Linked DNA regions of Xenopus tropicalis. The protein of the gene in region 1 purifies or fractionates together with the protein of each later gene. This does not show direct contact. Links are inferred from orthologs where the notes say so. Each region holds a gene or a part of one and is shown in the gene's direction. Other genes may lie near its edges.

Region 1 (8,595 bases):
TAATATTGGGTCATTCCCATTTGGCCCAACTGCACAGTATATGTGCCACCACTTTGAAGGGATTAATAAAAGAGGCCCTTATGGCCCAAAGATGAATCAGTGCTGGTATTTAAATTATACCAGGAGGCCCAGACCAGGCTGTGGTTACCTGTTAGAGCTCGTTTACACTGCAGTCTTGGAAGGGGAGATACATATCAGTCCAATACGATTCCTAGCGTGGTGATGTGTCCTTTCCAAAGAGCACAAAGCTGAATCACACACTCAGAACTTCCAATTCCAAGAGATGTTAACGAGTATCGATATCACAATGGAACTGCACACTGTGTCCCTATGTCATATTGTTAGTCTAGCCTGAAAACAATCCACAACTCCATGTATGTATGGGACTGTAGGCAGGGAGAGTAGGCCAGTACTTGTGCTCACTGCTAACACCCTACACTCAAAATGATTGGCTGCTTGTTCCATTGTTACTCGTGGTGTTTCCTGAGACACGTAGGCATCACTAAAGTTCACTAAAGTGAGTTCCCACGGGGGTTAATACCTGATAATGATATTTTCCAGTTTTTTATACCAGATAGTAGTCTCTCAGTGTAGTTTGTTGGTGTAAGGACAGAGCAAAGTAACTTGCATAAAAGTGTTTTAGATAGCTTGGCAGTACAGGTATGGGACCCGTTATCCAGAATGCTCGGGACCTGGGGTTTTCCAGATAAGGGGTCTTTCTGTAATTTGAATCTCCTACCTTAAGTCTACAAAAAAAAATTATTTCAACAGTATTTAAACCCAATAGGATTGTTTTGCCCCAATAAGGGGTAATTATATCTTAGTTGGGATCAAGTACAGGTACTGTTTTATTATTACAGAGAAAAGGGAATCATTTAACCATTAAATAAACCCAATAGGGCTGTTCTGCCCCCAATAAGGGGTAATTATATCTTAGTTGGGATCAAGTACAGGTACTGTTTTATTATTACAGAGAAAAGGGAATCATTTAACCATTAAATAAGCCCAATAGGGCTGTTCTGCCCCAATAAGGGGTAATTATATCTTAGTTGGGATCAAGTACAGGTACTGTTTTATTATTACAGAGAAAAGGGAATCATTTAACCATTAAATAAACCCAATAGGGCTGTTCTGCCCCCAATAAGGGGTAATTATATCTTAGTTGGGATCAAGTACAGGTACTGTTTTATTATTACAGAGAAAAGGGAATTATTTAACCATTAAATAAACCCAATAGGGCTGTTCTGCCCCAATAAGGGGTAATTATATCTTAGTTGGGATCAAGTACAGGTACTGTTTTATTATTACAGAGAAAAGGGAATCATTTAACCATTAAATAAACCCAACAGGGATGTTCTGCCCCAATAAGGGGTAATTATATCTTAGTTGGGTTTCCGGATAAGGGGTCCGATACCTGTATTCCCTTTTGCACAGTACAGTAACACAAGCAGACAGCTGAGAGCCTACTAAGCAATGCTGCAGGCAGTGGTGCCTTCATGTAATGCGCCCCCTATGGCTGGGCCTCAGCAAGTGCCTGACATGCCATAATAAATTACTTTGAATTTGCTTCTTTTAATTAAAGTCTATGAGCTGCCTCACAAGTGACCATATCTGAAGTGCAAGGAATGTGTAAATGGGTTGAACCCTGGGCTGCAAGTCCCAGTCTCTCTGCATGGATTCTGTACTGTCAGCAATAAACTCCAAAAACATCCCATTGATTCTGTGGGTTTACTCAGGCAGGCCACTAGGTGTCACTGTTCTTACCCCTTTCCTTGCCAGGGATTTATCATTGTCCTTTAAATACCTTTTCCTCCTCCAACATTGCTTTCAAGAACCAGGAATCTAGAAAATGAAAGCAAATGGTTTATCTGAAGAAATAAAAAAACATGATTTTTACTGATCAAAACAACCAAAAAGTGTAGTATGTCCAACACAAGCCCTATAACAAGCATACACTAGAGCTTCCAAGCAGATTCATTTTGAGGGGGTAAAAGGCATTAAACTCTAGTGAAACAGCGCCCCCTGCGGCAAAATAATTATGTTAATAGTATCATGTGTCAGAAAAATGTAAACATGACTGTTTATTTTATCTAATCTATCTATCTATCATCTATTCTGTCAATCTGTCCATCTATCTATCTATCTATCTATCTATCTATCTATCTATCATCTATCCTGTTAATCTATTATCTATATATTCTGTCAATCTATCAACTATCTATCATCTATCTATCATCTATCCTGTTAATCTATTATCTATATATTCTGTCAATCTATCTATCAACTATCTATCTTATCTATCTATCTATCTATCTATCTATCTATCTATCTATCTGTCTATCTATCATCTATCTATCTATCTATCTATCTATCTATCTATCATCTATCCTGTTAATCTATTATCTATATATTCTGTCAATCTATCTATCAACTATCTATCTTATCTATTTATCTATCTATCTATCTATCTATCTATCTATCTATCTATCATCTATCTTAACTATCTATCTATCAACTATCTATCTATCTATCTATCTATCTATCTATCATCTATCTATCTATTTATCCATCTATCTATTTATCTATCTATCAACTATCTATTTATCTATCTATCTATCTATCTATCTATTTATCTATCAACTATCTAATCTATCTATCATCTATATATTCTGTCAATCAATCTATCATCTATCTATCTATCTATCTATCTATCTATCATCAACTATCTATCTATCTATCTATCATCAACTATCTATCTATCTATCTATCTATCTATCAACTATCTATCTATCTATCATCTATCTATCTATCTATCTATCTATCTATCATCAACTATCTATCTATCTATCTATCTATCTATCTATCTATCTATCAACTATCTATCTATCTATCAACTATCTATCTATCTATCTATCTATTTATCTATCAACTATCTAATCTATCTATCATCTATATATTCTGTCAATCAATCTATCATCTATCTATCTATCTATCATCAACTATCTATCTATCTATCTATCTATCTATCTATCTATCTATCATCAACTATCTATCTATCTATCTATCTATCTATCTATCAACTATCTATCTATCATCTATCTATCTATCTATCTATCTATCTATCTATCTATCATCAACTATCTATCTATCTATCTATCATCAACTATCTATCTATCTATCTATCTATCTATCTATCTATCTATCTATCAACTATCTATCTATCTATCAACTATCTATCTATCTATCTATCTATCTATCTATCTATCTATCAACTATCTATCTATCTATCTATCTATCTATCAATCAACTATCTATCTATCAACTATCTATCTGTCTGTCTGTCTGTCTGTCTATCTATCTATCTATCTATCTATCTATCATCTATCTATCTATCTATCTATCTATCTATCTATCTATCTATCTAACCATATACTATATGTATAAATATACACAGGCACACACACATATATATGTTTATACCATACAGTGTGACCCCAATTGCAGGACTGGTCAGAGTGCTGTCCCTTTAAGCAGTGCAGCAGCAGGAGTCGCGGCCAGCCGGAGTCGCAGCGGGCAGTTGGAGTCGCAGGGCCGGTGGGAGGGGGCAGAGAGGGAGCGCAGACAGGCGCTTGTCACATTCCCTCCCTCACCCCCGGGGCAGGCTGGCGAGTCTCCTGTGCGATCCGGAGGGAAATGTAGAACAGGACGGACCGGTTTCGCTCTCAGCCCCGCACTCTCCCTGCCTGTTGGGAGCCTCTCCGAGCAGCTCTGAGCCGGGGGAACCTCTGCCTTACTCCGCTACAGCAGCCCGGGAACCTCTGTACAGCGACACTGCCCGGGAATCGCACCTCTGCTCTCCTGTACAGCGACACTGCCCTGGAATCGCACATCTGCTAACCTATACAGCGACACTGCCCGGGAATCGCACCTCTGCTATCCTATACAGCGACACTGCCCGGGAATCGCACCTCTGCTATCCTATACAGCGACACTGCCCGGGAATCGCACCTCTGCTATCCTATACAGCGACACTGCCCGGGAATCGCACCTCTGCTCTCCTGTACAGCGACACTGCCCTGGAATCGCACATCTGCTAACCTATACAGCGACACTGCCCGGGAATCGCACCTCTGCTATCCTATACAGCGACACTGCCCGGGAATCGCACCTCTGCTATCCTATACAGCGACACTGCCCGGGAATCGCACCTCTGCTATCCTATACAGCGACACTGCCCGGGAATCGCACCTCTGCTCTCCTGTACAGCGACACTGCCCTGGAATCGCACATCTGCTAACCTATACAGCGACACTGCCCGGGAATCGCACCTCTGCTATCCTGTACAGCGACACTGCCGCGGAATCGCTGTCAACCTGTGTTGCGACTGTGCGGCGACTTGTCTCCTAGCTGGCGCGGTGACCCTGCGGGACGCAGTACCGGGAGTAAGGCGCAAGGTAGGGGCATTTATTGGGGAGTTGGGCTTTACATGGTTATATGTACACATGTGGGGGCACCTCTCCCCCCCCCCAAGCCGCTGTAGAACTAGCGATGTGGGTGCAAGGGATGGGCGCACCTTGGCCATTGACTTATATTGCCCCTGTTTGTGGTTTAGAAAAAAAGTTGCCCCTCATGCCCCAGGGTTATGCCCCAATGTGCCCTTATTATAAAACTTAGTGCCAATCTATTTCCCTAGTGGGGCCCCTAATACTGTATTGAGGGTTCTGTAAGGGCCCAATGGGGCTCTCAGGGGATTCTGGGAGTAGGAACGCATTGGAATGGTACAGGCTGATCAAACACACATTACTGTGGGGAAAGTCTGGTATAGATTTGGCACAATCTCATAAACCCCCCCCAGGAAGTTTTGTTTTGGGGGGGGGTCAATATGTTGGGCAAACAACGTATTATTGGGGTGCAACTAAAGAGCAAGGAGACTCTTGGGTGTCCAGAAGGTATAGGGTGCCCAGCGCGGGACTGACAGAAGCAGTTTGTGTGACTTGGGGCCCTACAGTGGTATATCTGTGGGGCCCAATAATGTGTAGTTGTATCCTGTAACCCCCAGCCGGGCACAGGGCACCCACAGAAACTTATTATACACCCTATGAGGTTTTGGGCACTTGGTGTCTTTGTAAATACTGGCAGTGCCAGTCTGTGCCCCCTGTACTTGTGCCCAGTGTACCCCCCCCCGGCACAGGCCAAGGCACTAGGGTGCCACAGAGAGTGTCAGCAGGCAGTGAAGGGGTTACGCGCAGCTTCTTGGGGATCTGGCTGCTGTTTGGAATAGTAATTGTCTGTTAAGGGAACCATATGACTGTAGCAGCAGGGGATCATGTCTGTGCCTGTGAGATCAGGTCAGAAAACAGCCGCGGGCAAACAGACAGTTTCAGTCTGTTCCCAGCAAGAATGTACGTGCGCTGCCAGCGGGGTCACTGTGGGTCGGGCACAGAGGGCTGTATGGGGCACAGAGGGCTGGATGGGGCACGGAGGGCTGGATGGGTCAGGGGCATGGAGGGCTGTATGGGGCACGCAGGGCTGGCTGGGGTACGGAGGGCTGTATGGGGCACGGAGGTCTGGATGGGGCACGGAGGGCTGTATGGGGTACGGAGGGCTGTATGGGGTACGGAGGGCTGTATGGGGCACGGAGAGCTGTATGGGGCACGGAGGGCTGTATGGGGCACGGAGAGCTGTATGGGGCACGGAGGTCTGGATGGGGCACGGAGGGCTGTATGGGGCACGGAGGGCTGTATGGGGCACGGAGGGCTGTATGGGGCACGGAGGGCTGTTTGGGGCACGGAGGGCTGTATGGGGCACGGAGGGCTGTATGGGGCACGGAGGGCTGTATGGGGCACGGAGGGCTGTATGGGGCACGGAGGGCTGGATAGGGCACGGAGGGCTGTATGGGGCACGGAGGGCTGTATGGGGCACGGAGGTCTGGATAGGGCACGGAGGGCTGTATGGGGCACGGAGGGCTGTATGGGGCACGGAGGGCTGTATGGGGCACGGAGGGCTGTATGGGGCACGGAGGTCTGGATGGGGCACGGAGGGCTGGATAGGGCACGGAGGGCTGTATGGGGCACGGAGGGCTGTATGGGGCACGGAGGGCTGTATGGGGCACGGAGGTCTGGATGGGGCACGGAGGGCTGGATAGGGCACGGAGGGCTGTATGGGGCACGGAGGGCTGTATGGGGCACGGAGGGCTGTATGGGGCACGGAGGTCTGGATGGGGCAGGGGCACGGAGGTCTGGATGGGGCAGGGGCACGGAGGGCTGGATGGGGCAGGGGCACGGAGGGCTGGATGGGGCAGGGGCACGGAGGGCTGGATTGGGCAGGGGCACGGAGGGCTGGATGGGGCACGGAGGTCTGGATGGGGCAGGGGCACAGAGGGCTGGATAGGGCAGGGGCACGGAGGGCTGGATGGGGCAGGGGCACGGAGGGCTGGATGGGGCAGGGGCACGGAGGGCTGGATGGGGCAGGGGCACGGAGGGCTGGATGGGGCACGAAGGGCTGGATGGGGCAGGGGCACGGAGGGCTGGATGGGGCAGGGGCACAGAGGGCTGGATAGGGCAGGGGCACGGAGGGCTGGATGGGGCAGGGGCACGGAGGGCTGGATGGGGCAGGGGCACGGAGGGCTGGATGGGGCACGAAGGGCTGGATGGGGCAGGGGCACGGAGGGCTGGATGGGGCAGGGGCACGGAGGGCTGAATGGGGCAGGGGCACGGAGGGCTGGATGGGGCAGGGGCACGGAGGGCTGAATGGGGCAGGGGCACGGAGGGCTGGATGGGGCAGGGGCACGGAGGGCTGAATGGGGCAGGGGCACGGAGGGCTGAATGGGGCAGGGGCACGGAGGGCTGGATGGGGCAGGGGCACGGAGGGCTGGATGGGGCAGGGGCACGGAGGGCTGAATGGGGCAGGGGCACGGAGGGCTGAATGGGGCAGGGGCACGGAGGGCTGGATGGGGCAGGGGCGCGGAGGGCTGAATGGGGCAGGGGCACGGAGGGCTGGATGGGGCACGGAGGGCTGGAAGGGGCAGGGGCACGGAGGGCTGGATGGGGCAGGGGCACGGTTATACCTGTTTGCTGCTGGGAGCTTTAGGAATGTAAGGAGCACAATGGGAATAGTGCCTGAGCGTGTCCCTGCACATCAGCCTGGGGCCGCCTTGTCTAAACCCCCTGCACTTTATAACTTGCCCTTATGGAAGGGGCAGGCAGAGCTGGGGGCTCTTGTTAACGCTCTCCGTGCTGCTGATTGCACAAATCCATCCTTAGGATTAGGGTTAAGGGATAGGGGTGTCGGGGTATCATTTATAGAGTAGCGCTTTCCAACATGTGGCCTGTGTAGCAGTTGTTGAGTTGCAACTCCCTGACCCCCAGGCTGCTGCCTTATTGATAAATGTGTGTATATAACCATGGTAACACTCATGTCTAATGCACACCTACAGCGTGAGTGGGGGGGGGGGGGCATGTTAAGAACAGCTAAAGAAGAATTAACCCCCTCCCAAACAGAATATATGCAGTAAATGTTGAACAACACCTGGTATTTGTGGACTGTCAGTTTGTTGCTATGGGCACTATGTCTTGGCTTTGGTGCAGATCAGTTGGGGTTATTGTGAGACAAATGGGCATCATGGCATAGCAATGTATTAAACCTAATGGGATCACCTGGATTTGGCACTTACCTAGAGCTCTGTTTGTAACTTGCTTCACCCAGTCAGAGTGTAAGCTCTTGGGTGCATCTCCACCCTGGTACTGTCCTAATTCTCAGTGGTCAAATGCATTAACTTCTCTTGTGTATTGTGGCAGCTCTCCCTTGTGTGCCTGTACCCTACGTGGATTGTAAAGGTGCAGAGCGGACCCCACGTTCATGGAGAGGCTTGGGGGGGCCAAGACCACAGGGTCTGCTACCTCTATAGCTATAAGAAATCCCCCCTCTCATACCGCTCTCTGCGTAAAGGGCCAGAGAGGGGTTACCCAAGCGGGTGAATGGGTGGAGGGAGGGCCAGGTAGGTGTTTACTGTGGCCTGCCAAAGATTCTTGTGCAGGGGGGCTCGGCACCACATTGTTACCCCACAAGCTCAATGCTATAATTGTATAAGAGATTTCTCTTATGTCAGGGGCTTTCTTTGGATTATAAAGGCGCAAGGCATTGCTCCTAAGCGTATCGGCTCTCCCTCCCGTGTCTGTACCCTACATGGATGGTAAGGCGCATCGGATAGGTGCCCATCCGTCCATTTAAGGGATAAATACACAGGAGCCAAGTAACTGGTTCACTCCCACAGGCAGATGGGCCAGATATTAGGGCAGCTGGCCCACATACACCCGTGGCTAGTTTGCTCTGATGCAGAGAATAAGCCCCCCAGGCCAATCTGGAGAGAAGGAGCCAGTCTGCACTATGGAAAAACTACTTGTGTCTAAACTTGTTCCTTTGCAGCTTGCATAAAGCGCCAGTGTGCCTGCCCAGCCTCCTCTGATGGATGCATGCCAGCGGTGCAACATTTAGGGCCCTCGGGGGCCCAGGCCCCACTCTGTGAACATTTTTTTCTAAGCCCCCCCACCCTGGCTGGCCAAACTCATGGGTAACCCACAGCGCTCCCCTATAGTT
Region 2 (8,053 bases), on another chromosome or scaffold:
TTCTAACAAATGCATTTAGATAATCTGAATGAAAGTTATTGCAAATGCATAGGGTTTATATATATATATATATATATATATATTTATATATATATTTATATATTTATTTTATTTCCATTCTTTTACCATTAGGAACTTGTCTCAGATGCCAATCAACATGTGAAATCTGCCCTGGCTTCAGTCATTATGGGCCTTTCTCCTATTCTCGGCAAAGACAACACCATTGAGCATCTCCTTCCACTTTTCCTTGCACAGCTGAAAGATGAGGTTGGTTTATAATTTTGACTTGACTAAAAGGACCAGTATATAACCAGTAATGACCAGTATATGTCCGTGTCCTTAACTGAAAATATTTTATTTCCATTTAAAGTTTCATATTTGTTTATCCAGCACATACAGATAACCATTGGCAACAAATGTCCTATTTTATTCGAGGGAGGTTTTCACGCTGTAGTGCTGTAGAGAGCAATTTGAGAGCATTTGACTCCTGTTGCTCCTTTGTAAGAACTAAACCTATTCTTCTCAAGGCAACTTCCGCGACTTCAGCAAATTGCGGGCCGCGTATGCCATCCCACCGGCAATTTACATTCTAGCTGGTGGGATGGCATTCTGGGGAGATTGGTCGCCCGCAACAAGGGAGATTTGTTGTGCAAGGACTAATCTCCCCGTGTGTCACACCCCTAACGGTTCTCCTGACCAACTGCTGTTTTTCGTTTAGTTTTTCTGGCTGTTTCTTTAGCTACATGAAAGGGAAGGGAGTGCATTTGCAAGGAGAATTTCTGTTCTCTAAGCACTGCAGGCAGGGTTGTATTTAGGTCTGGTGGGTGCTGCCCTAGGCAGTGGCAGTGGGTGGGCTGGCCCAGTACCCGCAGGACCCGTGGGTCGCGTGGGTTCAGGCCAACCTTGGCACATCACTTGCGGGTCACAGGAAGGTTTGGATTGAGCTCTTCTGCTTGCCCTCCCTGCCCGCGACATAACACTGCTGGCTGCCACTACCGGCTTCTGTATTTCTAGGCGTGCACCTACCATGCCACTCCCCCTTTGTGACATCATTGCAGGGCGGGGCAGAAACCGCATCGGGTAGGGTTTGGGTTCAGAGTGGTCGGGTGCGGGTCCAGTTTTTCTCCACCCACACATCACTACTAGGCACAGTTCACAGCCCACCCTCTTCCATCAGCAATTGACAAATGCATGAACAGTCCTGTTGTATTGCACAGAGGAATGATTAATAACTCCTCCTCCCTCACGTCAGCTGCTGGATAAAGGCACATGTATCTGACAGCAGGCTGGGTTTTATTGTAAATTTTTTACCATATAGGGACCTGAGTCCAGCCCCCTAGGCACAGGCCTTTAGGTGCCTATATAGTAAGTATGGCCCTTACTGCAGGTAAGCAAGGGTGGGGATTACTGAGCCACATGAGAGCTGGGGAAATATGCAACCGATAATAAAACATGCTTGATCAGAAAGATAACTTGATTGTGTATACCAACTCTAAATTCATTTGTTTGTGGTTTCAGTTTTTAAATAGTGGTTAAATTGCATTTGAGTCAAATTTCAGGCTTCATTTTCCAGCTAAAATGTGCAGATGGCTGCCAGGATTCAATTCTGGTATCCAAATTCATTCCTAGTGTTGCCAAATCCTTCGTCCCATTGGCAGTGCATTTATATTATTTATATAGAGGACAGTTTGTATAATTCCACAATAAACTGAATGAGTAAGTGCCGGTGTGAGACTCGCTCGGCTTAGCATTTAGCCATAATGCGGTTGGAAAGCTGATTTAGTGAGGGCTTTATTAACTGCAGAAAGAGTTGAATCACTTTCCCAAGTATCTTTCTCTAGGAATGCCTTCCAGCCTGTGGTTTCTCACTTACTATTGCCTAAGTTTCCTACATTTATTTCCTTGTAGATTCATGTTTTTTGGATGATATCCTTTATATAATATCATCTTCTGAATATCCAGCTTTGTTTATTGGCAGAAACTATTCCACCGTGTGTATTCCTCTGAACTAACTGTGGGTGCAGCTGTATAAATGCACTTATAACCTTTACAGAGAGATCCAATCAAAATATTTTAGCTTATGTATATTGTACAATTAGTACAAGGATCTGGTTGATGTTGCGTTTTAATATTACAAAAGCCTGGGCCAGTGTATGGCCTTGTCACCAAGAGGAATTTACATTGACATGATTACATTCGGGCAAGGTCACTCATACTGGGCTGTAATCTGTAGCAACAGTAACTGTCAACTTGGCCTTTAAGGCTAAAATGACAAAAGGGCATTTGCTGCATTTACACGAGTGGTTATCTATTCTGACAGTTGCTAGTAGACTGGAGTTTTCTTGCCATTCTGCAGGCAACTTTGCCCGATCAGCGATTATCTTTGTTGCTGGTAGAAAGGCATTTTGGAAAGATTAGGTGCCCACGGTAGCAAAAGATCTATCACGGGTGACTAATCTCTGCGTGGGACATCAGACTGGGAGAAGAAAATAACTTTAAAATGAGCCCTGTTATTTAGTGATGTGTGGATGGGCGGAGCTCTTCTTACCACCATCCCCACCCGTGACCTAACTGTGTCCCTGCCTCTCCCCGCCCCCTTCATGAAGTCAGAGGCGGGGCAGGCGTGGGTATATAAATGGATGCAGCTCGGCGGGCTGCACAGGTTAGCGTGTGGTGCAGGTTGTTTTTTTTTCGACCCGCGCATCACTACTAGTGTTGATGCCATTTCCCATTGCTTCTTACATCTACGTATCCTCCTATCCTTCTTTTTCCAAGTTTATAGGAGAAGGAAAGTCATTTTGGCATTTTACTGCCAATAGATTTGTCACATTAGTGCCACCTAGAACGCTATATTTATTCAGCAGAAAGCTTTACTATACTTGAGTAAAGAGCCCTAGAAGCTCCCTCCGATAGCAGCTGCCATTTTAGCTTGGTCTTGGTAGCTTTCTGCTGCAGTTATAGTTGTTGGAAGCTCAGATCACACGTTCCTAAGGGTGGGGGAAGTGAGTTTGTATGTATTCTTATGGGAGGGGGGAGGGGAGAGGAGAAGAACTCGGCAGACTCAAGGCCCAAACCTGAAGGAACCCTAAAAGATAGGAAGTCTGATACCAAAGAACATGTTCCCAAAACAGGAGACCAGAAATCCTGTGTTTCTTTTGATAGAGGACTCAAGCGCTTACAGAAACACTGCACTATGGCTGTATTTACACAGACCTTTCTGATAAAGCTTACTGAGTTTTTACCATTCCTTCTCCATTAATATTGAGTGGCTGTGTCTAAGTGTGGAGCGTGGAGTCTATAAATAAACTCTTTTTGCAGGCAAATTTTAAAAGCTAAGGTTTTTCTATTTTTCAGTGTCCAGAAGTGCGGCTGAATATCATCTCAAACCTGGACTGTGTGAATGAGGTTATTGGGATCAGGCAACTCTCACAGTCACTGCTTCCTGCCATTGTAGAACTGGCAGAAGATGCCAAATGGCGAGTGCGGCTGGCAATTATCGAATACATGCCCCTACTTGCCGGACAGCTGGTAAGTGCACCTCTTAGTGTTGGTCCAACCACAGAGCTTTGTCTATAGTTCAGAACAAAAGAAGTATATTACTGTCGGAGCTACAAATAAAGGGATGAGAAACAGCCACACAATCTGGATGGCTTTGGTAGGAGCTAATTAACCTATTTTGCCTGCATTGTTCTGGAATGCTTAAAGGGGAACTCCACCCAAACACCTTTTTCAAAAGTAACGGTAATTTCAAGCAACTTTGCACTATACATCAATTAAATAATATGCAGCCTTTTCATGACTTTTAATGTAATAATATGATTTGGAACAGTTCCCTAAGCCCCGCCCCCTGTTCCCCTGCTGATCTGGCTGACTACTCTGTGACTCAAATAAAATGTAACAGTAGTCGCCTGTCCTCAGCCTGCCTTCAGCCTGCCTCCTCCCAATCCCACAATTCCCTGCACACGTGATGCCAATAAGGAAAGGAACATCACAGTGCAATGTATTGTGGGTTATGTAGTTCCTGCATGCTGTCTGTAAGCTGGGGAGAAGTTGTTACTATTAGCGACATCATTGTTTTAGTCCCTCCTCCCCTGTCAGGATTCCAAATGATGCAGAAAGAGAAGCACTGTTTTGCAGCTGGATTTCAGCATATACAAATGGTATTTATTCATACTTTTTGAAGTATATATTGGGGGCCAGCGTAGGAAATGACTCATGCCTAAATTGGCCTGTTTCTTAATTGTTATATCTCCTCTTCCAGATCTGAATCACTGATAAAGTCTGTATTATCAGTTTTGGCCACTAGAGTGTGCTGCTGTTTATACAGTAATATGATTTTGTTCTTTTGCAGGGAGTGGAGTTCTTTGATGAAAAGTTAAACTCTCTGTGCATGGCCTGGCTCGTGGATCACGGTAAGGATTTATCACTATTTACAAATCTACTGCACTCACCTGTATTCATTTTATCTGCACAATCTCCTAACATATTCATATTTAGAAGTTATGGCTTAAGTTAAAACATATTAGTTTACTTTTCTCTTGATGATGAAGGGTAAAATGTAAAGACTAATATGTTTTGACCCTTTTTCTTCACAAAGCATTTGGCAAAACCAAAGCATTGAGTATAGCCTTAATAGGTTGTGATTTTCTTATTATCTGGCTCAATATCAATTGTACGTTTGCAGTCTATGTTTTGGTTACCATTGCTCTAGGGCAGTGGCACACAGTGTTATTTTAGGCATTTTGCTGCCCAAGTGATCAGTAGTGCAGGCAACGGAAGCTCAGAATCCCAAAAAAGACATCATTTCAGGTATTTTGTTTCTTAAAGGAAAACTATACCCCCATAATGAATACGTAACCAACAGATAGTTTATATTATGTTTAGTGGCCCATTAAAGAATCTCGCCAAACTGGAATATATATATCAGTAAATATTGCCCTTTTACATCCTTTCCCTTGAGCCACCATTTAGTGATGGGCTTTGTGCTCCCTCAGAGATCAGCTGACAGGAAGTGATGCAGCTCTAACTTTTCCGTTACCTAGACTATTACTGTTGTTTGTCTTATACCCATATGACATTTGAAGACATTTGAATGTGACATATTTGAATGTGGAGGAGTGTGCAGACTATAAGTCACCCCTGTTACGTAGCTGTTACAAGCTGACAGAACTTTCTATAGCGGTATATCCCTTGTTTGTCTCGGAAAGTTCCCTTGCGGCTTTGAACAAAGCAGAAACAAAGATTGAGAATGAACTGAGAAGTTCATTTAAAGGTGAACTTCCCCCCGAATGAATCTGGCTAAAAATGCCATTATTTATATTCTGAACTTATAGCAGAAGTTTAAGGTTTCAGCATCTCAATAGCAGCAATGATCCAGGACTTCAAATTTGTCACAGGAGCTCCCCATCTTGTAAAGTGTCTGCGACACTGCACATGCTCAGTGGGCTCTGGGCAGCTGTTGAGAAGCCGAGTTTAGGGGTAGTTGCAAGTTATCAAGCAGAAAACGAGGTTGGTCTGTCATATAAGGTGATGCTACAGGGCTGATTATTACATTCTGATGCTAATTGCACTGGTTTCTGAGCTGCCATGTATTAACTACTAGTCAGCCTTATATTGTGACATTTATATTCTGTATATACAGTATAGTGTGAGCGGGTCCCTAGGCTCAGGTAAGTGACAGTAGCACAGAGCATGTTCAGGGAATCAGCAGAAAATAAGATTGGGGGCATCTTTGGTGGCACAGATCCTCCCTGCTAAAGGCCTGTGGGTGCCTTGGGCTGGTACAGAAGCACAAAACATAATGTACAGCATTTCTATCCTTCTTTAGTTAGGCTTAAGTTCTCCTTTAAGCTTTTACTTGTTTCTCCTTGCAGTGTATGCCATCCGAGAGGCAGCAACAAGCAACCTGAAGAAGCTGGTGGAGAAGTTTGGCAAAGACTGGGCTCAGGCCACCATTATCCCCAAGGTCCTGGCAATGTCTAACGATCCCAACTACCTACATAGGATGACCACCTTGTTCTGCATCAATGTAAGTGGCTTCTAATATAAGTATGTTACAAGGGCTGGGTGGTGGGGGTCATACTCCTAGAATTTTATACAATACAGGTGCCGGCTTTCCTACCAAGTAGCCGAAAGCGCAGAATATAAAAGGCTTTATGTACCCCCTGATGTATTATATACTTAGACATGAAGCCACACACAGTTACTATTTGTCTGGTGCAATAGTTTGGCAGTTTAATTATGGCTATGTGGTGGTTAGAAAATGCCTAGTGATCTCTGTTCCCTTCTTTGATCAGTGTGTACAGTGTTGCTGTATGGCTAATAGCCCACGTGGCATTTAAACCAATGTTCTTATCAAAGCATAAACATGTGCTTTTATGTGAGGTTCTTACCCAGTAAGCAAAAGGCTGTGAGGATTATTTACCCAGTTAATAACAGACTGTCGAAGGCATTTTATTGGCTGTGTGTGCAAATTGGGGGTAATCACTGGTGACTCCCCACTTGTTACTGCCATCATAGCCTAGATGGTCCTGCTGAATTCACTAGTGTAAATGTCAGGGTGCAGATGTGTCAGAATGTAATGGATTTGTTCATTGCCTCCTGCAGGTTCTGTCTGAGGTTTGTGGACAAGAGATCACCACCAAGCATATGCTCCCTACAGTTGTCCGAATGGCCGGGGATGCTGTGGCCAACGTGCGCTTTAATGTGGCAAAGTCTCTGCAGAAAATAGGACCCACCTTGGACAACAGGTAAATGGGGCGTATGACAAAGTGTGTAGTGTATTTGATTCAGTTACTTTCTATTGCTTGGGGGATTAAAGGTGCTTCTATAGCGTTTGGTCTCTTCCCCACATACCTTCTATATTTCTCTGGTGCAGTGTTATCCTTCCCTTTAACTGTGCCAGTGTATAAAAGGTGGCTTTTCCCAATGCATGGTTTCATGGGACACAGGTAGGTGTAAAATATTTGCTTACGATTTTCCTTTTATTAAAGGTCAAATATCACATCATACATTTCTGTAAAGTTTAAATAGTGACAGATATCGTACAGGCTACAGAGGCAGAACATTGTTATTGGATGAACGTGTTTTCGTACTGGGAGAATATAATAGAATATTTATCCCAAGAGCTATTTTTGTCCCACAGCAGAGCCATATGTTTAGGCGTGGGTTGCCAAAACACACATTTTAACTCTCCATTGTGGCCTACAAGTTCCAAACGTTCACAAAAGTTCCTGTGTTTAGTAACCCTTCAGGGTAGAACTGTAGTGTAGGAGGAATACATTATGGGCCCTTACTGCTGTTATGCTGCAAAAATCACTAGGGTTGCCAGCCATGCTGTGGGAGCAAATGGGAAGCAAGTATACATTACGTCTCAGTGATGTCACACCATAAATACTTGCATCTGATTGGCTCCTGCTGCCCAGAGGAGAGTGTAGCTAAAGACCAATTGGATTTCTACACCAGTATTATTGTTATTAATGCACCAAGATGTTCCACAGCACTGTCAGTTTGGTACAAATGCCTGAGGCAGCAGTGGGGAACCAGATACTCTGCCTTTTGAACTGTGGGAAACAATCATCTATATTGCAACATCAATTCTAACAGAATCACTAAACATAGTGGGAAGGCTTTTCATGCTTTTAGAATGTCAAGGGCAACTTTTCACTTTTCATCCATTTTTTATTCCTATAAGTTTTTATGTTATTTAGTTGAAAGGAACAGTAACACCAAGAAATAAAATTGTATCAAAGTATTTAAAACATATAATATAATGTACTATTGCCCTGCACTGGTAATAGTTTTGTACATGGCAGCTTATTTATATAATCTTTAGGGTTTTTGAAGCAAATACACAACCTTTACCAGTGCAGGGCAACAAAGACATGTTTTTTTCAAAACCCATCAGTTAAACGAGCTTCTCCAGCAGAATCCTGCTTTATAGGATTTTTTTTTATATTTAATTTTAACATTTCGCATGGGGCTAGCCATATTCTTCATTTCCCAGGGTGCCACAGCCATGTGACCTGTGCTCTGATAAACTTCAGTCACACTT
Region 3 (8,053 bases), on another chromosome or scaffold:
TCCCAACTAAGATATAATTACCCCTTATTGGAGGCAGAACAGTCCTATTGGGTTTAATTACTGTTTAAATACTTTTATTAGCAGACTTAATGTAGGCGATCCGAATTACGTAAAGACACCTTATCCGGAAAACCCCAGGTCCCAAGCATTCTGGATAACGGGTCCCATACCTGTACTTCTGATAGATATATGATAATAATATAAGTAGCCTGATATATAAAAGAGGAGCGATCCACTGCAGCTAAACTGCTCCCATTGGGAAGAGGAGAAATGAATTGCCAGCTGAGATCTTTATCTTTAGATAAAATCTCCATAAAGCTTTTTTTAGGCGGCATTACACGACCAGCGGTGGCACAGAATATTCTGCAGATGATGCCAATTGCCCATTTCCTGCCTATTTTTACATTGATAGCAAGCTATAATTAGCCTAGAATTCCTCCCATCAGTGACACACAGACTTAAAGAGAGTCGACGAGAGAGTGTGAGAGATGGGGACACGGTAATTACCTGCTGCGCTTCAGACAAACTGCGAGCTGCGGGCATGGAAACTGCCAGAATGTTACAAATTAAGGAGGATTTTATAAAATGTGATTTTGACACTTCGTTGAATGTTTGACAGTGAGTAAAGCCACGGCTGTATTTTTAGCACAGGGAGGGAGAATACAGTCCATCGTTAACTATACAGCGTAGGCAAAGGGAACAGTCATATTCAGGTGCAAAGGCTCGCACCTACGGCAAACTATAAACGGCACAGGCACGGCGCAAATTAACTCCGCTATGATGGATGATACCTGGGCGTACCTTGTCTAGAAGGAGAATAGAGGTGACAAATGAGAACAAAGACTTGATTATGTTGTTTCTCCCGCGGGCATGCCAACATGCCGGTATAACGAAGAGGGAGACGTTTCAGAATAATGAACCTCGTTAGGCAGATAGCTGGCACGGTCACATTATAAAGCATCTTGCGTTTCCCCTATATCATATACACGACGATAGCTGGGGCTCCTAACCTAAAGGTCACCATGTCATTCATGCTGGGAAATCATGATCCCGTTCCCATACAGCAATTCACTTAATTTGTTGATATTAATTTAAGGGTGATAATAAACTCATTCCATTATAAATCTGACTTCTAGCTCTGTGGCCTGTCTGAGGACACTGTGGACAATTTGTCGTTAATATATATAGTCCAATTAAATTTATTTGCTTAATGTGCTGAAAGAGAACATATTAATGCAAGTAATAGGGATACACAGCCCCTATCACATTTGGGTTGGATGATGAGACCCAAGCACATACCAATGGGAGATATCAGAAGGCTAAATGCCCTCCAGGAACATAATCTGATTAAAACAAAAGATGGTTTGACAGAACGGGGTTTCTTGGGGGTGGACACAGTGGCAGTTCCTCCAAAACTGACTTAACTTCCTAGCCATATTGCTTTGTGTATGGAGAGCATTAAGCTGAAACAGGTTTAGAAAGCTGAGGATCGCATGGTGAGAATCTCGAGCTGCAGTTGATCTATGAGGGAAGCAAGTCAACCATGCAAGAGCTCTCCTTAGTCTTTGTCATGGAAGAAAAGAAGGGTAGGCCTTAAAGCTTGGAGCCCACTTTTTATTGGTTACATAAAACAGTACATTACCCCTCTCTATGTTTGTACAATATGGAGTAACAAGTATTTGGGAAATGTGTCTAACAGTTGCAAGGTTTACTCCAGGTCAGATGTTTGCTGGCCAGTAAAGTCTGTAGGATCAGCCACCTTTCCTATATTTTTATATTTCTTCCCCATTAATAACATTGGCATTGAGCATAATGTTTACTGGTCAGGTGGCAGTGCTAACTAGCTGCTGAAAATTAATTTACTCCCGATCTGAAGTTAGGGAGCAGAAAAGAGTCATCTAGTGCAGTGCTGTCCAACTTCTACGGTGCCGAGGGCCGGAATTTCTCTAGCATACATGGTGAAGGGCCGCTAATGGAAGCCAATTTTGACCACTCCCCTTTTTGAAACCACACCCACTTCAAACCACACCTATTTTATCACAATGGTGGTAGCACAGCAAAATCCCAAATGCTTGGTCCTTACTGTGGGGATATCAACCATCATTCATATGTGAAAGAATTATGTCATATTAAGATATACCCTTAAATTCCATATGCCTCCTCCTCCCCTGTGGATAGCAGAGCAACCCCCAGTACATAATTACACACCTTTGGGACCAACTGCTAACAAACTCCCACAACAAACCCCTGCCAGGTTCACCTCCCACAAGCAGCATAGGGCAAGCAGAGTATGGCACACACAGGCAGCACTCTGCCTGTCCTATGCTGTCTGTGTGTGCCATACTCTGCCTGTCCTACCCTGCCTGTGTGTGCCATACTCTGCCTTCCCTATGCTGCCTCTGTGTGCCATACTCTGCCTGCGTGTGCCATACTCTGCCTGCCCTACCCTGACTGTGTATGCCATACTCTGCCTGCCCTACCCTTCCTGTGTGTGCCATACTCTCCCTGACCTATGCTGCCTGTGTGTGCCATACTCTACCTGCCCTATGCTGGCTGTATGTGCCATACTCTGCCTACAGTACCTGTGTCTGAGGTGTGAAGAAGTGAACAATGTGGGTGATTACAGTCTGAGCCTGAGGTGTGAACACTGCAGGGGGTGAACAATGCAGGTATTAAAAGGTGTGAAAAACACAGGGGATTACATTTTTAAACAATACAGAGGGATTACAGCCTGAATCAGAGGTGAGAACCATGCAGGGGGCCAGTTAATCTCAGTACTGATACCATTTAATGCTTACTCAAAGGTAAGCCATCAAAGCAGCCAGACAGGTGGGGGGCCACACAGAGGGGGGTCGTTGGCCGCATGCGGCCGTGGGCCACCAGTTGGACAGCACTGATCTAGTGTATCAGAGCTAAGCAGAGCAACATCAGAAGACATTTCTTTTCTCAGTAAACAAATTTTCAACCGACTGTATGTGCCTTCCATATGGGAAGTTGAGTACATTTAATTCACTGTATTTATCTCCTGTGTTGGCCACCAGTTCTGCTATTTATTGTTTTTTTCATCTTACATTCTTATATGGAAGTTTTGTGACCTCCCTTGGACACTCTAGGTGCGAGAGGGAGAATAACTCTACTTTCAGTTGACCCATATAACACCCTGTGCCACCATGCTTGTATTTACAGTTTATGAAGAACCAGAAGACCCAAGCAACAGATCATTTTTTTCAGAGATCATCTCCTCAGTCTCAGATGTCAAGTTCAGCCACAGTGGACGCTACATGCTCACGCGGGATTACCTCACTGTCAAAGTATGGGATCTAAACATGGAAACCAAGCCCCTGGAAACGTACCAGGTAAAACGCTTCATTTCCGGAATTCTGTATTTGTGGTATTGGGGCTGGTGATAGTTAAGCACAGCTGCTGTTTGAGAGGAACAGGTATTTACATGGGGTGATATGATGATACAAGGACTGGATTTTCCCTCCATGTTGCAGCTAACTGGAAACTCCTTTTCATGGTTGGCTGGTTCCCTTCACTGGATCATCTGATCTTTTTTTCAAACGCACCTATGGTTTTATTTTGGAATAATATTTAGTATTCATCATAACACTGACTCCTAGGTGAAAATTCATAAAAGTGGTGATATTGAGACAAAATAAAAGTGGAGATAGATTTGTCGGATTTCCCACCGTATTCACAAACCTCTATCTCCACTTTTGTGAATTTGTCTTTTAAACAGACAGTTTTCAGATTTTGTCATTTTACAGACATTTTTTTTATGAATTTGCCTTTAGCTCTTGGTAAATCTGTCGGTGCCCCCAAACCCAGTCCCACAGCTACAGGAGCCTTGGGATAAGGATTTTACCAGCAGGATTTTGCATTTCATATGCCATTTCACTTTGGGGGAATTTCCTGAGGGGTAATTTTAGTTTGCCCAGGGAAACTATACATCATTTTTTTTAGGACAAGCCGGGCTTTCTAATGTTTCCTATATTTCTGTGTAATTCCACTTCTGTTACAAGATTTAAGGGTCTAAATACCGTCTTCTCTAGCCCCTACTCATTAATGGGCAGCAGCAATCCGGCCCCCACACCAACATGCCCAGTGAATAGAGGTCCAACAGGACTAGGGCCCACTGGGTTTTTATCCAATGCCCTGTTGGGCCAGTCCAACCCTGTACCCCAATATCCCAGTGTGGGTGCCGGTGTGAATGTGCTGTTTGCTGATCCCCAAGATGGCTGCTGGGAACAGGTGGGGGCCAATGCTGTTAAGCAGCTCTGTCGTTGTGGACATGCTATGGGGGCACAGAAAAGTTGGGGCAAATGTCAGTGAAGTGATTAAAGAGGGGGCACTGGGAAACTTTAATTTTCCTTTTATTAAAAACATTTACAATATATTCATAATCATGCAAATGTGAGGTAAAAACTTTTTATATATATAAGATATAAATTAAACTTTTTTTAATCAGTGTTTTACTTGTTTATAAAATGTTAATGAGGCTTTTTGCACCTATTGTTCTAGGGTTAGACAGAAACTTGTCCCCTAACAATAGGCTGCTAATCCCCATTAATATGTTAACGATCCCCTAATGGGGCTCCTACCTTAGGTGTGAAATGGAGACTGGGTGAAACCAAACAAAACAGAAGAGCTTAGAATTGGTTTGACAGAGTTACACTGAGCTTTACTCCATTTTGAAAAAAATGTTGTTAAAATGTTGTTTAAACGACAAATTCACAAAAGTGTCTGTAAACTGTCTTTCTTTCACCAAAAACGGAAAAGTGGCGGTTGAGTCGGAATTTAGGCGGATTTCTGTTTGTGACTCTGGAGAAAGTGTTTTTCACCAGTTTTTCCACCACTGTTACTCCAAAAAAGGGCTCTCTCCACTTTTGTGAATTCCCCCCCTAGAGTTCAAGCCCATTCTTTCCGATATTTGGTCTGGCCCCCAGTAGCCAGTTTACAGTCGTATAAAACAGTTATCGTTCTGATAGTGCCTAATTGTTCAATCCCACCACTTGGCTTTCAGGTACATCACTAAAAGTAAATAAGCACAAATTTCTCCCTAATGGGCACCCACCCACTGCTCGGGACCACCATAGGGGGTACAAGTGCACAGTCTGGGAAACTGGAAAAGTATTAGAGGCACCAATGACTTATTGTTGATTGTCCTCCAACACTGAGGACCAAATGGCACCTTAGTAATAAATTTTATTGTGGACAAATTCCACAGAATTAAGAGACACTACACTCTGCACTTGGTAGATCATATTGACATATCAAAAACAATTTATTAAACACTGGCTAGAGTGTTGAGGATTTTTTTGACAATGACCCCCAGTAACCCTTGATGTGTCAGCATTCACCCAGTAATTGACTGACCCCACCTCACCGTCTCCCCAGCACAATATAGTTATAAAGGTCACTAATCCTCGCTCATGACCAGCTTGCGAACTGTCCTTGTGGTTCTTTTTGATAGCGGGGAGAGCTGAAAGGAGGCCAGACATTCTGTAGGAGAGTTGAAGCATTTCTATGGTACAATGGACATCATGTCACAAAGTGGATTTGGGAAAAATACATTTATTTAATCTTTAGCTTTATATCTGTAATTGCTAGGCTGGACTCCGGGCTTGGGATAGCTAAGGGACAGTAGGTGGAGGAGACGTCAGTAGGCCGAGCAAGAGAGGAAGATAACAAGGAAGATTACTGTCTATATCTGTCTTCCTACCTTGGCTCAATGATAAAGGAGATTATCCGCAGTGTTCCGCCAGTATGCAAGGAAGCTGCTGTTACTGTTCTCCACTGTATTCACCTCCATTCTACTCTATCACTGATCACAGCCCCCTGGCTCTCTATCCCCCTGCCTTTAGCATTTGGCAAGGCAAGAGGAGACTTAAAGGACTTATAAGGAGTCTAGGGACTGCTTGTCTGAAACATGCACGTTCTACCTACACATCTGTACATTGGTTTTGTTTAAACTACTGTAGTTCTGGCCAGTGTGGTGATATAGAACTCAGCTATCGCTGAGTCCAAAGTAATGGGAGGGTGACTCCTGAGGGCCATTTAGGGTGACAGCTTATTTTCTGTCTTGGACACCTCTGGAACTCTATAGCAGGGGGAATGTCTGTTTCAAGCTGGAAAAAAGGAGAAAATGCACAGGTTACAGATAACCCATCTTTCTTTCTCCTGACAACGTCCTCGACTACTTCATGTTCGGAAAGTGACCAGCAGTTGTGGTTTTGTGCTTGCAGGTCCACGATTATCTTCGAAGCAAGTTATGTTCCCTGTATGAGAATGACTGTATTTTCGACAAGTTTGAATGCGCATGGAATGGTTCGGACAGGTAAGTCACCAACTGTGTTTGGAAAAAAAACTTTTATTATTGTAAACTGAGATTGTTTCAGGATAGTGAACTGCAAAGAGACAGCATAGGGGGCTGGGGCGTGAAATACATTATCAGGTTTCCAGTTTACCTGTACGATGTGTGGCTCTGTAGGAGATAGACATATTGTACCAGGGGGCTGTTTGAAATTGTTGCTGGTACCATTCTTACCCCCATATGTAATAAATGGCACTGTTTGCCCTGTAGCAGTAACTCATAGCAACCAATGAGATGTTTGCTTTTAAACAGGTGACCAGTACTGCTGATGCTATGGGTTACTGCTCCTGCTCTTTATTACATAGCCACTTTAGAGTCCTACATTCACTAATCCTTAGATGTTTCCTTCTCCAGATTATCAGACACCTAGCGGTAGTGATTGCAGGTTCGGACTGGGGGATGCAGGGCCCACTGGAGCTGCCAACCCGAGGGCCCTGCATGTGCCCCCACCGGCCCCATCCCCTGCACCCCCTAGGGGCCCCCACTGCACCCCGGGACACGTTGAGCCTCCCTAACCCCCCCAAGGGCTTCCCGGGGAGCGCCGGCAAGGGTCGAGTCTGGGTTTTTCCCAGTGTCACGGTGGCCCAGTCTGATTCTGGGTGATTGATAAACCTAAGTAAATTATTTGTATGTTTTTTGACCCAAATATTGCAAGGGTAAAACCAATAGTTAACCTTTTAAAGGTCGGTGCCATCTTTTGAGTTTGTAGCAGAGCGGTACATATTGTGCTGGGAAGCAGAATCCAATAGGACAGTGACTGGGTAGTGATGGCAGGGCCCAATACCAGATCTGTCACTTGCTGACTATTGGAGTTATAATTGTACTAACCTTTTCATCCACTTTTTTTGCCACTTATTTGCCACCAGAAACTGGGAGAAATACAACATAGATATGTGTGCCTTTTTTGTTTGCAGCGTCATCATGACAGGGGCGTACAACAACTTCTTCCGCATGTTTGACCGAAACACAAAAAGAGATGTAACCCTGGAAGCCTCGCGGGAAAGCAGCAAGCCCCGGGCCATCCTCAAGCCCCGCAGGGTATGTGTCGGGGGCAAGAGGCGGAAGGATGACATTAGCGTGGACAGCTTAGACTTTACCAAGAAGATCTTGCACACAGCCTGGCACCCCACTGAGAATATCATTGCCATCGCAGCGACAAACAATCTGTATATATTTCAGGATAAAGTGAACTCAGAGATGCAATAGGATTAATCTTTATTTAATGCCAAGCTAGCCTTTCCGGGGGGTCTTATCTTTGTTGATGACTCTGTAGGAAAGTCTTCTTGGTGGTGGGATTGAATGTTCTACCATAACTTCTTGCATTACCTCCCTAAGCAGAGGTTCTTGATTCCTCCTTGGCTGGAGATATATTCAGAACCCTTAGGCCTGCATCGCTAAGCGATTAAGATCGCCTTGACCATGGCGGTCTATGGGCTTGCCTGATACTCCTACACTGAAAAGGGAAAGGCAGCTGTATCTTCAAACTTTCTTTGGATGCCTGTAGACTCTTTTACATTACTATGGATGTGGCCATGCTTATTTCTGCAATAATATTCCATTCTCAGTAACCTAGCAACATCGCATACAGTCTATGGTGTGCTTATAATATACACTTATACGGTGTACTTATAAACTACCGGGACAAAAAAGGTATATATAATAATATTATATATTTCT
Region 4 (8,053 bases), on another chromosome or scaffold:
GACTAGTCAACTTAGGTGACAGAAAATAGTCCAGTTTGACTACATGGTGACTAGTGATGTGCAGGCCGGCCTGAAACCTGGCAGAACAGTCTGTAGGTTTACCTGTGGGCCAGAGGGTTCCTGCTGACATCCACACATTCTTTGTGGGGCCAGAGCCCCGATCTGTGACCTTACCATGCCCCAGTTCTGCTTCAGTCAGCCTGTATTAATAGTCTCGCGCCCTCTCCCCACCCACACAGAGATGGATGGGTCGAGTGTGAGTCTATGAATACCAGTAGCTCACCAGTTCAGGTGTGGGTGGGTTAAGGTCAGGTGGGGATCAACTTTTCATTCAGATAAGGAATCTTTCCTTAATTTGGATCTCCATATCTTAAAGGGGACATATTATGTGACAATTAATATTGTGCCAATAAATTGTACTCATATGAATATTGAAGGAATTTGTTTAAAAAGTAGTGTTTTTGGCTGATTTATTAAAAATTTCTCCAAAAACTCCACTAGTCCCACCATCTGTTCGCTTCCTGCTGCATCCTTTCCCAGGCTGTGCCGGGGGGGCGGCAGTACACTGCACTGTAGGATAGGAACCAATTAGCTGCTAGGCTGACCTGATAGGAAACTGAATCCTGCCTTTGCTTGTGTGACTGCACAAGACTTCAGGTTTTTTTTATCCTATGTGTCTTCTTTAGGTAGACTAAAATAATTTAAACATGAAAAAAACTCAGTAGGACTGTTTTGCCTCCAGTAAGGAATAATGATATTTTAGTTGGAATCATGTACAAGGTACTGTTTTATTATTACAGAGAAAAAGTATATCGGTTTTAAAAATAAGAATTATTTGATTAAAATTGAGTGTACAGGAGATGGCCTTCTTGTAATTCGGAGCTTTCTGGATAATGGGTTTCCAGACAACATCCCATGTCTGTATAAGTAAAACACCGCTCCAGACTCCTGCGGCAGTGTCACATACAGTTTTGACTAATAGCCTATGATTACAGGTGGGATTGCCCAAAATATGTTGGCCCATTGTGACGCTAACAGGAGCCTCATGTTTTTAATGAGAGAAAATAAAGGTTTTATATTTAAATTGACACAGTGCTGGTGCTTAGCTCTCCTCTTCTCATTTTAGCTTATTGCCATAAGTACCCATACACCTTTGGCTTCTCTGCCAAACCAACCATTTTGGTGACGTGCATTGGTTGATCATATTATATGTTTGGGTAGAAACCTGTGAGAAGCCACAATAAGGTGCTTCTTGAGAAAGTAGAAATCATTTTCCCCTTATATTATAGCGTCGGCAACTGATAGAACTGAAAGTCCTCAATTGCATTTTTGTTCACCCCAGATATATAGATATTGTCCTTGGGCAGGAGGCAAGAGCCATAGAAATTCCCTGCAAGGTGACATTGTGATGGCCCTGATAGATACAGTATTGTTTGGAAAGAGTGCGCTGTTACCTTACTGAAAGCAGTCATGTACAAAGGTTGTTTTCATGCACTGAAAGGAATTTATCTTCCCTGCAGACAAAACTATAAAATTGTGGAAAATAAGTGAGCGAGACAAACGAGTTGAAGGCTACAACTTAAAGGACGATGACGGCAGGCTGCGGGATCCATTTAGAATTACATCTTTACGGGTAAGTTTTGGGGGAAACAGAGTTATGAAGAAAGATAATTAGAAGGGTACAGCCACTACATTATCTATGGGCATAGGCTATTCTGGGCGAGCAGGGAAGTATTTAGTTCTGGTGCCCCTGTAGGTACTGGAGATAACTACACCCCCAGACAGCGCAATTCCCCCCCCCCCCCCCCATAGCTCCCAACAGATTTCCCCTGGTGGCTACTGGCGAGGGTTTTTATTTTTTCATTCTTTTAACTTAATTGATTATATAGGCACCAAGGACCTTTCCCCTAAGGCTGCCACCCTAGGCACAGGCCCTTGGGTGCCTATATACAAATACAGGCCTGCACACAAGCTGAAGTGGAAGGGAGTTGACTGTGAGAACTGGTAGTAGAGCCCTATGATGTGTAGTGACCATAGTAGTAGAGCCTTTACCAAGCCTTGTTTACAGCTACAAGATGTGCTGTAGCAATTGTGCCCATTTTATTCTTGCTGTTATTTCTTCATTTCTTGCCAAGGTTCCCTTTAACCACTTTGCATGTATTCTCATTTCAGGTGCCAATCCTAAAACCCATGGACCTAATGGTGGAAGCAAGTCCACGACGGATATTTGCAAATGCGCACACATATCATATAAACTCAATTTCCGTAAATAGCGATCATGAAACTTACCTTTCAGCAGATGACCTGAGAATTAATTTATGGCATTTAGAAATTACAGATAGAAGTTTTAGTATCCTTTGCTTACCATCAGCGTTGAAAAATTTACGTCAGTATGGCACTGGCAAATAGAAATATATTCCTGGAGATTCTCCTTACTGTTTATTTTTCCTAGATGTTGGGCTAAATATATGTTATGTTTTATATTATTACTGTCTCATACTATCAGTGAATTTATATAAGGATTTTCATATTGGGAAATTAATTTTTATGGGGAGTGCAGTCTACTGTATGTCGGGGCATGGAGCCTACTATATGTTCATAGCCAGCTATAGAGGTACCTGCTAGTTTTCATCCTATGGGATACAAGCCTAGACACAAAATGGTTCTAGTTAAGCATGAACTATATTGTGTAACTGAGCTTTCTGCTCCCATCTTTTGGTCTTTTTGTTTTCTACCCCCATGTGTAATAAACGGCACTAAGTTTGCCCAGGAGCAGTAACCCATGGCAGCCAATAAGATGTTTGCTTTTAAATAGGTGACCAGAAAATTCTTCCTGCTGATTGGTTGCTATGGGCTACTGCTCCTGGGCAACTTAGTGCCTATCCTTACATAGCCCCCATAATTCTATTCGATTGTTAGAAAAACCTTAACTGCCTTTCCAGACATTGTAGATATTAAGCCTGCTAACATGGAGGAGCTGACAGAAGTCATAACGGCTGCAGAATTCCATCCCCATCATTGTAACGTGTTTGTCTACAGCAGTAGCAAAGGAACAATTAGACTTTGTGACATGCGAGACTCCGCGCTCTGTGATAGACATTCAAAATGTAAGTTCCAGAATTCACCAGGTCACATGTCTGACGAAGGGGCTTCCCCCTAAACATTACATGGTTTGCACTAAATAAACACGCAGGGTTTATCCCACTCACGATTGCCCTGTTGTGCCAGTGTCTAAGTTACAGGTATAGGACCTGTTATCCAGAATGCTCAGGACCTGGAGTTTTCCAGATATGTTTTCCGTAATTTGGATCTCCATAACTTAAGTGTGCTAAAAATCATTGAAACATGAAAAAACCCAATAGGATTGTTATGCCTTCAATAAGGATTCATTATATCTTAGTTGGGATCCAGTATAAGGTACTGTTTTATCATCAATTTTAAAAATTAGAATTATTTGCTTATAATGGAGTCTATGGGAGATGGCCTTCCCGTAATTCTGAACTTTGTGGAAAACAGGTTTCCGGATAACGGATCCTATACCTGTACTATGTACTAACAGCCAAGAGCCATGTTGTACACCTGTGGTTAATGACCATTTACAGCATGTCATATTTATTGCCAAGGTGAAAAAGTGCCTTTATTATAGTACAGGTATGGGATCCCTTGTGCAGAAATCCATTATTCAGAAAGCTCCGAATTACGGAAAGCCCTTCTCCCATAGACTCTATTTTAATCAAATAATTCAGAATTTTAAAACTGATTTTCTTTTTCTCTGTAATAATAAAACAGTACCTGTACTTGATCCCAACTAAGATATAATTACCCCTTATTGGGGGCAGAACAGTCCTATTGGGTTTATTTAATGGTTAAATGATTCCCTTTTCTCTGTAATAATAAAACAGTACCTTGTACTTGATCCCAACTAAGATATAATTACCCCTTATTGGGGGCAGAACAGCCCTATTGGGTTTATTTAATGGTTAAATGATTTCCCTTTTCTCTGTAATAATAAAACAGTACCTGTACTTGATCCCAACTAAGATATAATTACCCCTTATTGGGGGCAGAACAGCCCTATTGGGTTTATTTCATGGTTAAATGATTCCCTTTTCTCTGTAATAATAAAACAGTACCTGTACTTGATCCCAACTAAGATATAATTACCCCTTATTGGGGGCAGAACAGCCCTATTGGGTTTATTTAATGGTTAAATGATTTCCCTTTTCTCTGTAATAATAAAACAGTACCTGTACTTGATCCCAACTAAGATATAATTACCCCTTATTGGGGGCAGAACAGCCCTATTGGGTTTATTTAATGGTTAAACGATTCCCTTTTCTCTGTAATAATAAAACAGTACCTGTACTTGATCCCAACTAAGATATAATTACCCCTTATTGGGGGCAGAACAGCCCTATTGGGTTTATTTCATGGTTAAATGATTCCCTTTTCTCTGTAATAATAAAACAGTACCTGTACTTGATCCCAACTAAGATATAATTACCCCTTATTGGGGGTAAAACAATCCTATTGGGTTTAATGTTTTATTGATTTTTTAGCAGACTTACGGTATGGAGATCCAAAGTTCCCTTATCCGGAATACCCTTGGTCCTGAGCATTCTGGATAAAGGGGTCTTATACACCAGTACTGTGCCTCACTATGGATAGTGCTATATACTTATAAAGGTGGCCACATACAGGCAGAGTTAAGCTGCCAATTTGGATCTGCCCATGTATGGGGCCCTCCGACAGGCCTCCCTAAACAATATCTGGCCAGAAATTGGCCAATGTTGATTGCACAGTCTTGATTTTTCTGTCTGATCAAAGACCACATTGCCTCATTGATGTAGTCCTCGCTACGACTTGTGCAATAGCACAATATTGCCCACCCAAGGCGGGCATATCGAGGGAAAGTTTCTTACCATGTATGGCCACCTTAAGTCTGTCTACCCAGTGGCATTCAGTGTTGTATTGCTAAGCACTGTGCTCCAAGTTGCTGAACTACATGGCACTGCATGAAGTATAGTTCTGCAAATCTCTAGAGACAGAAGTCAAAAGTGGGTTTTTATCTATGTTACCTGTATGTACAGGGTTGCTGGGAGTTATGATGTAGACAGCTGGAGGCCCACAAGATTGTCCTTTAGAGGTCTCTTTGCTACTAAACGTTCATGTACGAATGTAGAAAACTCCTGAGTATTGTATTGTATGTTCTCATTGTGAATATGGTAACTAGTATTAAAAAAAAAAAAATGCTGCAGACTGGGTAAAGGTTTATGATCAGAACCTGTTTATCGAATATTTTTGTTGTCCTTCTTAGTTTTTGAGGAACCAGAAGACCCCAGCAGCCGGTCGTTTTTCTCCGAAATAATTTCCTCAATATCAGACGTCAAGTTCAGCAACAGCGGCCGTTACATGATGACTAGAGATTACCTGTCTGTAAAGGTGTGGGACCTTAATATGGAAAGCCGGCCAGTAGAAACCTATCAGGTCAGTGCGCCATCAGTTGTGTCTTTTTAACCTTTGATCCCATCTAATTCTGGTTTGTTTAGACTTATTTTGAGTTTTAATGTTTTTTCTCTTTTATTGAACATCAGGTTCATGAATACCTACGTAGCAAGCTGTGTTCTCTGTATGAAAACGACTGCATTTTTGACAAGTTTGAATGCTGTTGGAATGGATCAGACAGGTAAGAGTTAACTCTGACCAGATAGTCCGATAGGTGTCCTTTTAAATGGATTGGTCACCTTCAAATTAAATACTGTCATGATTTTTATGGTATACTTTTTATTTATAAATTACACTACCATTTAATATTTTATTCTTGAACCAACAAATGTATATTTAGCTGTAATATTGGTGTGTAGGCGCCATCTCAGTGCATTGTGCCTGAGTCTGAGCTTTCAGCCAGCGCTACACATTAGAACTGCTTTCAGCTAACCTATTGTTTCTCCTACTCCCATGTAACTGGAGAGTCCCAAGCTGGACTTGGATTTCTTACTATTGAGTGCTATTCTGATACCTACTGGGAGCTGCTATATTGCTCCCTTCCCATTGTTCTGCTGATCGGCTGCTGGGAGGGGGGGGGGGATATCACTCCAACTTGCAGCGCAGCAGTAAAGTGTGACTGAAGTTTATCAGAGCACATGGCTGTGGCACCCTGGGAAATGAATATGGCTAGCCCCATGTGAAATTTCAAAATTAAATATAAAAATTACCTGTTTGGATTTCAATGCAGGATTCTTCTAGAGAAGCTCATTTATTATGATGTAGACATTGCTATTCTGAAACAATTTGCCATTGGTCTTCATTATGTTTGTGATGAGTTATTTAGCTTTTTGTTCAGCAGCTATCTGGTTGTTTGGGGGTCTCAATTACCCTAGCAACCAGGTATTGGTCTGAATGAGAAACTATCATATGAATAGGAGTGGGCCTGAATAGAAAGATAGGTAATTAAAAGTATCAGTATAATTGTAGCCTCAAAGCATTTTTATTTTTTTTTAATGTATATTTATTGTAATATGTTGTCGCTGTGTATATAATAATTGAACCCAACTGTGTGTGTGATTTCTCCGCAGTGCAATTATGACCGGTTCCTACAACAACTTCTTCAGAATGTTTGACCGCAACACGCGCCGGGACATCACACTGGAAGCCTCTAGGGAAAGCAGCAAACCACGTGCCATCTTAAAGCCGCGCAAAGTCTGTACGGGCGGCAAGAGGAAGAAGGACGAAATCAACGTCGACAGCTTAGACTTCAACAAAAAGATCCTCCACACAGCGTGGCACCCTACAGACAACATCATCGCTGTCGCCGCCACCAATAATTTGTATATATTCCAGGACAAAGTTAACTAAAAGAAAAATGGCATTATTACTTTGTTTTTTTTTGTTTTGTTTTTGAGGACAAAGTCTTGTTCTTGCATAGTTAAGCCTAGTTGTTTATCTGTAAGAGATCAGGCCTCCTTGTCCTCCTCCCAAAACCAACATGGATGCACTTCCCTTTAATAGAAACACACAGAGAGAGAGCTGGATTGTCATGGTAAGAGGTCTGGCCTCCCCGTAAGGGGGGGGAAAGGCACAAGGTTCCCCCAAAAACAAAACGTCAGAAGTGATGAACATCTCCCAGAAGCCTGAGCCTTCCTTTCCCACATTTTGACCAAAAAAACGGGGATAAAATCGTAAAATGTGATTGTGATTTTTTTTTTATACTGAATTAAATTTGACACCATTTTCTTTCTGCTGTTCTCTTTGGGCCTCTGAGAACATACACTGTGTTATGCCTGTAACATTCCTCCTCTGGCCTTTATTTGGGCAAAGTGTTTTTTTTTAATTTATATAATCCGAGCACTTAGCTAGAACTCCTCAGGTCAGCTGACCTTTTCCCATGTCTATTTACTGGCTGTACTAATGGCAGTGCCACCTGCTGGAACCACTAAATAAGAAACAAAATAAACATTTACAAAAGTGTTTTTTAGATCTGACCAGAATTCATTGGAATTTCCCCTAAAATGTTCTTTCTTATCGCATGTTCCTGAGCCGCGAGCGGTTCTATGAAATGATACCAAGATCAAATCTTCAAAACGGTTCTCTGAAATAGGACTTTGGTCTCCATGAGCTTAAAAAAAAAATGAAAAACCTACAGGGATTTTGCACAGTATTATGGGATATTTTAGCTAGACAACTTACGGACTATACCTTTTGTGCATTATATTTTTTTACTATTTTTTTTTTTTTTTAATTTCCATTTTGCATGCCATCCGCCATTGTTGCACTTCAAGCCCCTCCCCCCCCAGATCTGTCTTTAAAAAATTTCGTTATGCCAAACTGTTTAGCGTTGGAAGAATGTACAGTGAACAAATAGGTTTAACCTTCGTGCATCCGCTTGACACTAATTAGTCCGGTTCCCTAGAGCTCGCGTAGTCGCCACCCTGAGTCGCGGGAAGCGCAGACTCGTGCCAAGTGGATTTTGTGCCTCCCCTGGCGACGAACAGAGGCCCCCGACCCGCTCTGTTTTAGCCAAGAACTCGATGGTCAATTATAATTCCGACAGTTA

What was found.
Region 2: the proteins of sertad4 (region 1) and ppp2r1a purify together in Homo sapiens (affinity purification with mass spectrometry; 3 studies listed by BioGRID and IntAct, counting the BioPlex papers as one, with this or other methods). This does not show direct contact. The link is inferred for Xenopus tropicalis from reciprocal best matches to the Homo sapiens genes SERTAD4 and PPP2R1A.
Region 3: the proteins of sertad4 (region 1) and ppp2r2c purify together in Homo sapiens (affinity purification with mass spectrometry; 3 studies listed by BioGRID and IntAct, counting the BioPlex papers as one, with this or other methods). This does not show direct contact. The link is inferred for Xenopus tropicalis from reciprocal best matches to the Homo sapiens genes SERTAD4 and PPP2R2C.
Region 4: the proteins of sertad4 (region 1) and ppp2r2d purify together in Homo sapiens (affinity purification with mass spectrometry; 3 studies listed by BioGRID and IntAct, counting the BioPlex papers as one, with this or other methods). This does not show direct contact. The link is inferred for Xenopus tropicalis from reciprocal best matches to the Homo sapiens genes SERTAD4 and PPP2R2D.

The regions. Positions count from the first base shown.
Region 1 is NC_030681.2:15,441,907-15,450,501, forward strand, and holds the start of sertad4 (SERTA domain-containing protein 4), read left to right. Parts: upstream 1-3,600; 5' UTR 3,601-4,454; intron 4,455-8,595.
Region 2 is NC_030683.2:120,819,249-120,827,301, reverse strand, and holds part of ppp2r1a (serine/threonine-protein phosphatase 2A 65 kDa regulatory subunit A alpha isoform), read left to right. Parts: intron 1-132; coding exon 133-267; intron 268-3,354; coding exon 3,355-3,528; intron 3,529-4,351; coding exon 4,352-4,412; intron 4,413-5,873; coding exon 5,874-6,028; intron 6,029-6,606; coding exon 6,607-6,749; intron 6,750-8,053. UniProt on the Homo sapiens protein: The PR65 subunit of protein phosphatase 2A serves as a scaffolding molecule to coordinate the assembly of the catalytic subunit and a variable regulatory B subunit.
Region 3 is NC_030677.2:25,466,610-25,474,662, forward strand, and holds part of ppp2r2c (protein phosphatase 2, regulatory subunit B, gamma), read left to right. Parts: intron 1-3,186; coding exon 3,187-3,356; intron 3,357-6,248; coding exon 6,249-6,340; intron 6,341-7,290; coding exon 7,291-7,582; 3' UTR 7,583-8,053. UniProt on the Homo sapiens protein: The B regulatory subunit might modulate substrate selectivity and catalytic activity, and might also direct the localization of the catalytic enzyme to a particular subcellular compartment.
Region 4 is NC_030683.2:21,319,179-21,327,231, reverse strand, and holds part of ppp2r2d (serine/threonine-protein phosphatase 2A 55 kDa regulatory subunit B delta isoform), read left to right. Parts: intron 1-1,520; coding exon 1,521-1,633; intron 1,634-2,172; coding exon 2,173-2,350; intron 2,351-2,942; coding exon 2,943-3,107; intron 3,108-5,317; coding exon 5,318-5,487; intron 5,488-5,594; coding exon 5,595-5,686; intron 5,687-6,575; coding exon 6,576-6,855; 3' UTR 6,856-8,053. UniProt on the Homo sapiens protein: Substrate-recognition subunit of protein phosphatase 2A (PP2A) that plays a key role in cell cycle by controlling mitosis entry and exit. Involved in chromosome clustering during late mitosis by mediating dephosphorylation of MKI67.